Arabidopsis thaliana: one gene and its partner. The protein of the gene in region 2 purifies or fractionates together with the protein of the main gene of each other region. This does not show direct contact. Each region holds a gene or a part of one and is shown on either strand. Other genes may lie near its edges.

The links. The genes of interacting proteins can lie anywhere in the genome.
Region 1: the proteins of AT2G32600 (region 2) and AT5G12280 fractionate together in Arabidopsis thaliana (co-fractionation; one large-scale study listed by BioGRID). This does not show direct contact.

Annotation. Positions count from the first base shown.
Region 1 is NC_003076.8:3,971,385-3,975,454, reverse strand, and holds AT5G12280 (SWAP (Suppressor-of-White-APricot)/surp RNA-binding domain-containing protein), read left to right. Parts: upstream 1-1,818; coding exon 1,819-1,967; intron 1,968-2,084; coding exon 2,085-2,163; intron 2,164-2,259; exon of another isoform or gene 2,260-2,271; coding exon 2,272-2,394; exon of another isoform or gene 2,395-2,466; coding exon 2,467-3,138; coding exon of another isoform or gene 3,139-3,162; exon of another isoform or gene 3,163-3,204; coding exon 3,205-3,441; downstream 3,442-4,070. Other genes in the region: DGS1 (dgd1 suppressor 1), read left to right, coding at 1-23, 103-131, 218-341, 483-593, 711-811, 961-1,081.
Region 2 is NC_003071.7:13,830,952-13,838,806, forward strand, and holds AT2G32600 (hydroxyproline-rich glycoprotein family protein), read right to left. Parts: upstream 4,808-7,855; 5' UTR 4,575-4,807; coding exon 4,423-4,574; intron 4,168-4,422; coding exon 3,998-4,167; intron 3,784-3,997; coding exon 3,707-3,783; intron 3,603-3,706; coding exon 3,537-3,602; intron 3,447-3,536; coding exon 3,372-3,446; intron 3,237-3,371; coding exon 3,162-3,236; intron 3,047-3,161; coding exon 2,828-3,046; 3' UTR 2,594-2,827; downstream 1-2,593. Other genes in the region: EMB2795 (condensin complex subunit), read right to left, coding at 1-136, 219-514, 605-805, 895-955, 1,028-1,092, 1,431-1,548, 1,686-1,787, 1,992-2,258; CSLB01 (cellulose synthase-like B1), read left to right, coding at 5,283-5,545, 5,745-6,066, 6,271-6,396, 6,491-6,613, 6,748-6,948, 7,038-7,173, 7,247-7,428, 7,505-7,852.

The DNA of each region.
Region 1 (4,070 bases), on a different chromosome or scaffold from region 2:
TTGCCCGTGGTTTGCTTATTCAGGTAATCTAAGTTCTTGGCATGAAGCTATAGTTTATGGTTTGTGAAACTCTAATTACATCAGAATTTTTCTATCTTCCAGGTCCAAAAGCTTAAACTGGATATAGAAACGTAAGTTCATTAATTCAGTAGCTCTCAGTTAACTAGAGTAGATCTCTTACTCATTTTGTATAAAACTGAATAATCTTCTTCTGCAGAGCGATGCTTGAACTGGATCAGATACTCCGTGCAAATGAAATAAACTTTGCCATTCTGGCTGCATTACCTGCATTCTTTCTCAGCATTGTTATGCTTACAGTGCTTCGGACCTGGCTTAAAAAGGTAAGGAGTGATAATAAAAGGAAAACCAAATGTGACAGAAATAGATATATTTGATCCATTTTTTATAGTTTAAGACTAACTGTGTACAGTTAATGCAGCTCTGTTATCTTTATTCAGTTTCATTTCATTGGTATGAATCAGGATAGCAAAGCTCAAGGACGAGGAAGAATTGCTCGTATTCACAGGAGACTACTTGTCGTTGAAATTGAAAAGAGAATTATGCAGTATCAGAGCTACATTGAACAAGGACGTGTATGATATCCACTATTCTCCTTTTCCCCCTTTATCTTAAATCATTATTATTTTGCAAATGGGTTCTGTAAGAATCCTGTGAAAACGTTTCTGGTCGTTTCTTGATGCTGTTAACAGGATAAGGACGCAGAAACTGTATTTGGTTTGCTAATATACAGCCTTGAACGTTTGTACCGAGTTGTTGAGAAACCTGCAAGAGCAACCGACGAGTGGGATTTGTAAGTTTTTACTCTGATCCCATCAATTAGCTGAAAACAATTAATTAAACTGAGGCTGCGCCATCAGCTTTCAGTTTACCACAAGTCCTTTATTTGTTAAAGTGGTTATATGTGTGCTTGAACTGACTGATGTGTTTTTTTAATAACAGAGTGAAACAAGATCTGATCGAGTTAGGAAGGCCACAGCAGCAAACATCATACAAGCTAACAGTGACACAACGACTAGTAACGGTTTATGACTGCTTGCTTCCCACTCTGAAGCGACAATAACTCATCTCGGTTTCTTAATCTACTTTATGAAATCCCAATTGTATTCAATCATTCCTCCAAAAATGCTTGCTTGAGGGCCACTTTTGGTACTAAGCCAAAACCTTTTTTTCCTTGAAATGGTATAACAAGGCTACACATAGAAGATAGTTTTGAAATTCATGATCTATGTTGCAATTTAAGATATCAAAACCTATTTTGTGGTCTTTTTTTTTGTTAAAAGGCATTCAATTAAAAGAGGTAATAATACAAGCTAAGCTATGACATTTACGTCATACAGTTTGAGTAGAGAGAGAGTTAAGCAGTAGCTTAATCTATACTTTTAGAAGCTAACAGAGAGAGTAGTGAAAGATAAAAAGAGAAAGTGTAGATTGTCAAGAAGATTCTCAATTTTGTGGTCTTGTATGCTTTGGCTTCAATATTCTCTAACCAATTTCGGTCTCATCCCATATCATATACGGAGTCGAGATGAGATATTTTATGTCGAGTCTATAACAAATAAAATCAACTTGTGCCAAGATAAAACTCTACAAATGCTAACTTTTGGCTTTGGCAGGCAGGGTGTTGGTAGAATCAGAGAGTTGTGAGTTTGGGTTTCTAAACAAGGCAATCTAACCGGATATAGACCAAATGTCTTGTATTTTGTCTGTGATGGGTTGGACTTAAACTCAATTTATTAAAATGTGGTTTATTTATATATAGATATGCCTTTTCGTTATGTTTGGTTGATCATTCTATAAATGGTGGGTACACTCTCGCCGGATACGCCGGACACTCAATTTATATCCTTGTGTTACAAGCTTCAGATTGTCGAAGTCGTTCGTTCTCCGCTTTTCTCGACCTCACGTCCCGGTGGTTCTCGCGGTAGGGCTATGCGTTCCCGGTTGAGGTACGTTGCCTTCTTATCTCTCACCGAAACCTTAAGTAGTCATTAGCGTCGCCAGTTCCTCTTCTTTTTCCTGTCGATCTCTTTCTCCGCGTTATTATAGCTGCCTTGTTGGTGGAGATTGCATAAGCCAATAATTTTAGGTCAAATGAAATTCGGAGAATCTGATTTTGATGTTTCATATGATTTGATATTCATGGTGTTTTTTCAGAATTTATCTACGAATCTGACTTTAATGTTTATTATATATATATATATATATATTCCTGTAAAAAAAAATGTCCACTCCTTGCAGAATGATTTGCAGTTGGAGAAAGACAATTCAAATGAAGCTCCGGCTGAACCACCTCGAGAGATGAGAATTCATATGGATAAAATAGCACGTGTGGTTGCCCGGAAAGGGTTGAGGATAGAGAGAAAGATCATGAACGTTAGTTAGATTCCCTCTAAATTCGACTTTCTGAAGAAGTCAGATCCTTATCACGCATATTACAAGCACAAGGTTAGTGAATACCTTGCTAAGAATCAAGATGAAGGAGCTCAGGAACCTGAAGCTCCAGCTACCCTTAAAGGTGATGCACAACACTATCGCCGGCCTTTTCTTTTAAGCGATCCGGCTCCCAAGTTCCCAGATTATGTTCTCCCTGAAGGATATACTATAGAGGATGTTGATACTATTTTTCTCACAGCGCAGATTGTGGGTCGGTACGGGGAGGAATTTTGGTTGGATTTGATCAAGGAAGTGGATAACAAACCTCAGTTTGAGTTTTTGAAGCCAGCTGACAGCAAGTTCGATTATTTCAATCGGCTTTCTGTTGTGGCTTCGGAAGGACTAAAGCGATCCGAAAAGCTGACTAGTTCTCGTATGGCGATTGTTAGTAAGGCTTTTTTCTACCATCTTCGTCGTCAAAATGAAAAGCGGGAGTTGACCCACAAGGAGGGAGCGGCAAAGGCTTGTACTCTGTTTGGTGCTTTGTATGCTTTTGTGGGTCCTGATGGCTGCTTTGCTGACATCAAGGACGAAGATTTGCCACTACTTCAACACCCTTCAGCGATCAAGAACATACTAACAAAGCTGCAGCCTCGTATGCCTCCGCTTGGGGGGGAATCTGAGGAACCAGAGTTTGACGAGTCTGTCCTTGTTCCAGAAGACCAGTTTCTTGCTCAACATCCGGTTATTTTTTCCCCTCTGACTTGACTCTGTACTCTGTATCTAATTAGGAGTAACATACATTTGCAGGGTTCCTCAACGATCATGGTTTCTGTTCCAGACCCCGATGATTGGAAAGTCGTTAAGATCACAGTGCAGTCGCTATCGGAAAACGTGGCAAGTTTGAAGGAGAAAATATCTGGCGAGATCCAATTTCCTACAAACAAACAGAAGTTACGTGGAAAAGCCGGATTCTTAAAGGACAACACGTCGCTTGCACATTACAACGTGGGAGCAGGTGAAATCTTAACACTGTCTTGGTGGTGAGAACGCAGGGAAAAGCTTTTCAATCAGAGTTACATTGAACAAGGACGTGTTATTAGATATTCTAAATACTCTTACTCTCGCTTAAGATTTACGTGTTTGAGGGATACTCTAGAGTTTTTGGTACCAAACCTTATTTGTTTCCTTGAGATGGTAAAACAAAGTTTTACTTCAAAGATAGTTTTGAAATTCATGAAATTTGCTGCGATTTAACCAATTTCTGTCTCGTCCCATGTGTGGTGAGTCGAGATGAGATATTTTTATGTCTAAGGCTAAAACAAATAAAATAACCTTGTGCCAATATAAACCCTGTCGAAATTTCGTTTGTTTTTGTTTTGTTTTGTTTTCGTGAAACTGAATAGTCAAGTTTCCATTTTCATACTCAAATGAATAAATAATGGAGATGTAGGGAAACTGTATATACATGGTTAAAGTATGAAGTGATATCAAATGCTTTTTCTAGGACAACTGTTAATATTGCATAAAATAGCAAACAAACAAATGCTCTTCTCTTCAACTTTATCTCAAAATATCTGTTGAACAATCATGTAGTAAAGATCATAATAACATTTTCACATTTAATAAAATCATCCATGATATTTTCATGTCTATAAAGAGCATCCTTAATCCAT
Region 2 (7,855 bases):
TTCGATACTTCCAGTGATCAGGACCTGCCCAAGAATTTTGCTTAGATGAAATTCCCAACGACAAAAAGAGATAGTCATCAACATTCTCCAGTCTGTCATCTGAATCCATGTCTTGCAGGGAGGCTGGTTCAACTTCCTGCAAAGTGAAAACATTAGGTTTTCAGTACCAAATAAAATTCATTAAGAAAAAAGATTATTAGAAGAGCGATGGTAATAACCTCATGAAAATTTGAATATATTGGTTCTGCTTCATTGGGGCCAAAGTTTTCATCAACATCACCGGATTGACCCTCATAATCAAAAGAAGTTCCAAAGTTCTCATATCCTTCATCATCGTCGGCATAGCTAGCATCATTACCATGTGAAATATCAAATGACTCGGTCGTCTGCTGACCACAAGAAAACGTGTCAGATGGTCTTTGGTTCTCTTCATCAAATTGATTGATTATAGCCCGAAGAGATGGTACAATCTCATCCTTCTTTCGCATGTTTAGCACCATTTGCTCCACACATTCTACAAATTTAACCACAACATCAGAGAAAGCATAATGCAATAAAACATGTACAATGGTAGAGCGAGGCATATCAGCCAGTAAAGCCAGACCTTTAACAAAGGATAGATCAATTGTTTCTGATTTGTCATGCTTATTTGCAGACGAAACAAGCTTTCCAGGGATTTCTTGTGAATCAAATAGAACTTGACACCCTCCATAGACTCCTAAATTGTTTAGCAGCAGGCCCTTTGCTCCACCTTCATCAAACTGTGCTGAAGTCTGATGATAAAGGGGATCCACTGCAAATGCCACTGGAAAGAAAAAAGAAAGATAAATTATTGTCGTACATAACTTACTTTCACAAACGAACAAAGGGAGTTACGTTAAGTTAAGCAAATACCATCAAATTTCTTCACGTTAAGGGCATCAAAGGAAGGTTCCAGTGTTGATAAAGGCGATATCTGAAAGTTCGAAACACATCAGTAAATAGTCTCATCTATTAAATCCAGAATTAGATTTTGTGTATGAACTACCTTTTTCTCTGGCTGCTTCTTTTGGTTAGTTGCATTTTCTACGGCACCAGCAGCATCCTCGTGATCTAGTTCATGAAAGAAATATCAGAAAAGAATATAAGAACTTTTTTTACTTTAGTACCTACGTTAGAAATTAGAGCTAAAGAAAGAAATTCAATGCATTGCATAGCCCTCTTCAGAGATTTTAAATTCTCGTGTAGAAGTCAAAACAATAAGAAAAGTATTCATCTGTTTACCTAATGAGTTTCAAGACTAGTTTGGCAAACCATATTAACAAAAATGAGTGAATAAATATCTCCACAAATAGATAAAGCTACATGTTGTCTGTTGAAGTTTACCCTGACAGTTATAACCAAGTACTAAAGATAAGATAGTTTCTTGTGTGTAAGGTTATTAATCTAACCTCCACCGTCATCATGGCCAGCTCGGGTAATTCCACCCAAGACCTTGTATGCCTCTGAATGAACAGAGTCTACCCGCATTGAGTAAATCTTAACTCCAGCTTCAAGAGTGCAACTTGCCTGACTTGGACGAACACATATGTCTTAAATATGATTCTGAACTCTTGTTTTTCCTTTCAGTTTTATGTTTTTGTGTATTCTCAAACGTCTTAACAGCATTTTAAAAAAGCCAAAGAAGAATGAAATCGAAAGCTTACCTTTTGAAAATTTGTTTCTGTATTGTTCTCATCTTCAACTTTGATAATCTCACAAAGATGGTCGATCAAATTCAACTCCCATGTATTCTTTTGATTGATTTTCTGTTTAACACAAAACCCACATAACATAAATTAAATTGCAAAGCTAAACAAAGATTATAGTGATTAAAAAGCTACTTGTAAATCTCATCAGAAGCATATTTACCCAAGACCAAGGTCAAAGACAAGGACTTTTAGCCACGAATTTTCCTTTTTCACTTGCTATAATTATGGGGGAAAAAAAGACAGAAGAAAGTAGTTGCTTACGTTTTCACTGGCTAATTTGATACAGTTCTGAAACAACTCGAGAATTTGCTGTTTGTCGAAACAAGGATCAGACTCCGTCTCAGGCTGAGACCCACGAGCGAAAATGACAGACCTACGACGGCTAGCAGCGGCTCTTGCGGCTCGAGCTTGTTCCCGTTCCAATCTGTCATCGTTAGATCCCAAGAAGAAGGGACTCGTCGGAGCCTGGATTCGAGTCGTCGTTGAAGCTGGCTTTTGCTTAGGGTTTGGAGTTAAGGATTCATCCATGACAGAACTTCTCCGCTTGTATAAACTCAATGAGAGAAAATGCGTTTGTTGGGTTCACCGGAGCTTTGTGGATCCGAGAAAATTCAAAATAATTTGGGAATTAGGGATTTTAATATTTTGATTTTCCCTCTTCTTTACCCTTTTGAATTTCAGAGACACTGATGAGAATGTGTAAATACATGATTACCCCCGTCGAAAGGTGAGTGACGTGGTATACTCCACTTTGATCATCGTTAGAAATAATTTAAATATGAAATATCCATGGCCGGTCATAGGACTGATAGATTGGGTTAAGACTTGGTTAAGAGTTAACCGATATATAACAAATGAATTTTGTTTCGCCAACGCTAATTGTACTATTAACGGAAAACAATCTTGTCAAAATGGTACATACGAGAAGCAGATAGAAGAAACTCAAAGAAGGTATCTAGAGAGCTAATACATCCGTAGAGATCACAGCTTTGAGAATCCATGTCAAAACAGATTTGTTTTTCAGTCAAAGAGCAAGTCTCTCTTAGTAAACCATGATCAGAGTACTGTGTTTTTAAACTGCTTCGCTGGATTCTCTTTCACATGTTAGGATGTCCGAAACCTCCAGCTGGTGGCATGGGCCTAAAACCATTGTTAGCCATTGGAGGTGGTGGCGGTGGGAATAAACCAGATGGAGGTGGTGGTGGCGGTTGAGCTTGATGAGGCGGGGGTGGTGGTGGCGGTGGAAGACCATTTGCTCCAACAGCTGACTGAGGCTTGTTTGGTTCTGGCTTGGTAGGCTTGAAATACACCTGCAGCTGTTTTATTACATTCTTTGTCAGTATTTTGATTAATCCAAACACAAAACTTATCCAATCTCGGAAAAGAAACTAAGCTTATGGCTTTATGAGAATTATGATGAGAAGCACTTACTGTAAACATCTTGGAGTCTGGATCCCAGTGAGAGAAAAACTTTGGGGTTGATTTATCAACCTCTGTGCTAGGAACCTGAAACCAATGCGAAAACACAACCATCAATATCAGTAAACAATTCGACCAAGATATGTTGGGCTACTAGAGCTATAATCCCAGATGACTTGTAGAATGTAAATGTCACGAATAAAAGAAAAAAAAAACACATACCTTGAAAGCTATGATTTCATATGGTTCGGCTGCAAATAGAAGGTATTGATAGCTCTTGTCATAAGGTTGAACTTTCTGCACACAAAAAAAAAGGAAGAAAACTATTCAGTATGAAGGAAAAGAAAGAGTTTATGAGATACATAGACAAGGAGTTGTAACACTCACCTGCTCATAAGATGACATGAAACGATGTCTTGGCTTTATGTTGTCCTCTATCTCAGGATATTCAATCTGTAAAACATTGTTTGAGGAGTAAACAGACACAGTGAGATTTTACTCTGGCTAAGTCTCTAATGATGATCATTGAAGTTCAACAATAACAATTAGATGCTTACCTGGAACAGAAGAGATCTTTGTTGCAGCTCGGGATCATACTGTTTTGTAACCCGGTACCCTGGTCTACCAATTTTAACTGCAAGACCATACATAAAATGGAGTTATTAATAAACCCTTTAAAGCAATCAATTAAGTAAAATCTATGTACTCAATAGCAAAGATATACAATTTTGCTATTACTTCTAGACAATCACTTTCCCATTATATCCAATTCCAGGCCTAGGCAGATTTGATATCAACAATGGGAATAAAGCTGTATTATAATTATAGAAAATAAAACAACTTATTACCTGTTCTGCGAACTGAGACATTGCGCTTGAGTGGCTGCGGCTTAGTAGGAGCATCCTTAGCCTCTCGAGCAGCTCTCTTTGCCAAGTTTGTCTGATGCCTCTTACCTTGAGTATGTGCCAAGTAGTTTCCTTCATTGTTATGCAGTGTTAGACATAGTTTACACTCATAGCTGCACAACATAAAAACACACCAAAAATCAAATTAGTGGCATGAGGGGAAAATTAAAAAAAAGAACCTAATTCTAGAAACAACAGCCAAACAAACTCAAGAGCTATCACACATATGAATAATCAAACTCAAAACGGAGCAAAAATGTAGATGAAGTTGGTAAAATCACAGTATTCATAAATCTCAGGTTGATCATCCAACAATTGAATCTGCTACTTACTCGTGCAACAAAGCATACATAAATACAGTAACATACCTTCCAAGATGATTTCGCATGAAATACGGATCTTTAGCAAGGTCTATGGTTTCAAGAGCAAGACGACGGAGACGCTCACGGCGATCTATGGCCTCGTTTTGGCCGGAGGCGGCGCCGCCACTACCAGGCTTGGAACCCCATTCTCTATCCATAGCTGCTACTAGGATCTCCTTTCACGCTAACTAATCCCCAATCGGTCCTTCTATGCTCTCTTGTGCTGCTCTCTCGATTGCTGGAAAATTTTGACAATTGCTGAGATTTTTCTTATGACTTATGAAGATTGGGGAAAAAAAGCACAGATGGGGGAGATTGGGTGGTTTATCAGAGACCCTAATGTGGGTTGGGTTTCGAATAAGATGAGACAGTTTAAGGCCCAATATCAGCCCATCAATGTGTTAAAGAGAAAATAACGTCATCAGGTTTTATTTCATACATGATTCATTATAATGATAAACTGATTAAATTAAAATCCTAGATAGACAGACAATTTCTGCTTTCACTTATTGGAATTTATAATCAAGCTAAATCACTACTTGATAATATAATAAGAATGATATAAATTACTTTAAAATTATTATTAATTATCAAATAAATGCGTGTAACTAATTTCATTGCTTTAAAACATGAACATCAATGTCTTACGTTACTTCTTCCACAAGAAACAAGTAAGACTTTGACTTTTTAGGTTTCTTGTTCTCGTGATCTTCACGAAGGTGAAGCTTCCCTGCTTATAGGGAATCATCATTAACTCTTAGCACATTAATTAGGAGTTTCCCACATGCGTATTTATATACAAGCATGAAGCATTCATCGATGTGAAGTTCGAAAACATATCCAAAAACTGCAAGAAAGCTCCTCCCATGGCGGATTCAAGCTTTTCTCTTCCTCCTCTTTGTGAAAGGATCTCATACACGAACTATTTTCTAAGAGCTGTATATCTCACGGTTCTAGGCCTTTTCTTTTCTCTTCTCTTGCACCGAATCCGACATACGAGCGAATACGACAACGTTTGGCTCGTGGCTTTCTTTTGTGAATCTTGTTTCTTCTTGGTATGTCTGCTTATTACTTGCCTAAAATGGAGTCCTGCTGATACTAAACCCTTTCCTGATAGACTTGATGAAAGGTATCATTTTCGTTTTACACATAAATCATATATACAAATATTATTTTTAGCATATATACAATCATTATTGTTATTAACTTTGTATAAAGTCTGAGCTAGTTTGCTACCTAGCCTTAGTTTAATCATCAAGATAATATTCATTTCTATGTTATCTTTTACGTAATTCATTAACCTGGCATATAAAATATTGTAATTTCAGGGTTCATGACCTTCCTTCGGTGGATATGTTCGTGCCCACAGCAGATCCGGTTCGAGAGCCACCGATTATGGTTGTGGACACCGTGCTTTCGCTGTTAGCTGTAAATTATCCGGCAAATAAACTAGCTTGTTATGTGTCGGACGATGGATGCTCACCTCTCACTTATTTCTCTCTCAAGGAAGCTTCTAAGTTCGCCAAGATTTGGGTACCGTTCTGCAAAAAGTACAACACTAGAGTTAGAGCTCCTTCTAGATATTTTCTGAAACCTATAAGCGTCGCAACAGAGGATTATGAATTCAATAGAGACTGGGAAAAGACGAAGGTAAAAAGGGTTTGATTATTTTTTAGGTGTATGACATTTTTATGTTTACAAATAATATTATTGTGCTTATTTACAGATTAAATTCTTGTTTTGAAACAATTGAGATACCTAATAAAGTTGCACATGATCTGAAGATTTGTTCTTAGTCTTTCATCTTATGTATTGAGAAATTTCTTGATGTTTTCTTTTTGTGTAAATACAAAGAGGGAGTACGAGAAGTTGAGGCGGAAAGTGGAAGATGCCACCGGAGATTCTCATATGTTGGATGTAGAAGATGATTTTGAAGCATTCTCAAACACAAAACCAAATGATCATTCAACTCTAGTTAAGGTATTTAAAAAAAATTCCTTAAGTAAAAACAATCAAGTTTCTAACTATAGTTATATACGCACACGTTAATTGTTTTATGTGTATATATGTGAAGGTGGTATGGGAGAACAAGGGAGGTGTAGGAGACGAGAAAGAGATCCCTCATATCATATACATATCAAGAGAGAAAAGACCAAATTATGTTCATAATCAAAAATGTGGAGCCATGAACTTTCTGGTTAATGAATTTTCTTACACATCTCTCTCTTTTTCTTCTTATTTTTTTCTGAAGTTTCACATCTTATATAGTGTATTTTTTTTTTTTGTTGTACCGAAAATGTGATAAGCATATGATATGATGAATTTGAACAGGCAAGAGTGTCAGGGTTGATGACAAACGCACCATACATCTTGAACGTGGATTGCGACATGTATGCCAATGATGCAGATGTAGTCCGACAAGCAATGTGTATACTTCTGCAAGAATCATTAAATATGAAACATTGTGCTTTTGTTCAATTCCGTCAAGAATTCTATGATTCAAGCACCGAGCTAATAGTCGTCCTACAATCAGTGTGATTTCTTCTTTTAAATTTTGTTTATCTATAATTCTAATCAATACATTGTTATTTATGATATGTCGTTTTCTTTGCTAAATTTAGCATTTGGGACGAGGAATCGCGGGAATCCAAGGACCGATATATATAGGATCAGGATGCGTCCACACGAGAAGAGTTATGTATGGTTTATCTCCAGACGATTTCGAAGTTGATGGAAGTCTTTCTTCAGTTGCTACAAGTAAGTCTTTCATAAAAATCTTCAAAGCGTTATTTAAAACATTTTTTTATTGACCCTTGCTGTTGCTATCAAGGGGAGTTTTTGGTTAAGGATAGTTTAGCGAGAAGATTTGGTAATTCTAAAGAGATGATGAAATCAGTGGTTGATGCAATACAAAGAAATCCAAATCCACAAAATATACTTACAAACTCCATAGAAGCGGCTCGAGAAGTGGGACATTGTCAGTACGAGTACCAAACCAGCTGGGGAAACACCGTATAATTCACTTTTCAGTTTAACCAAATAATATTATATTGTTTCGAAAAATTCTATAATATTGAAAGTTATGCAGATCGGCTGGTTATATGATTCAGTGGCGGAAGATTTAAACACGAGTATCGGAATACATTCGAGAGGTTGGACTAGCTCATACATTTCTCCGGATACACCTGCATTTCTTGGATCTATGCCGGCAGGAGTACCCGAGGCGTTACTCCAGCAGCGTCGATGGGCGACAGGATGGATCGAAATCCTTTTCAACAAGCAAAGTCCGTTGCGAGGATTGTTTAGCAAGAAAATAAGATTCCGACAACGATTAGCTTATCTTTGCATTATCACCTGTCTAAGGTCAATCCCTGAGCTTATTTATTGTCTCCTTCCTGCTTATTGCCTACTCCACAACTCTACCTTATTCCCCAAGGTG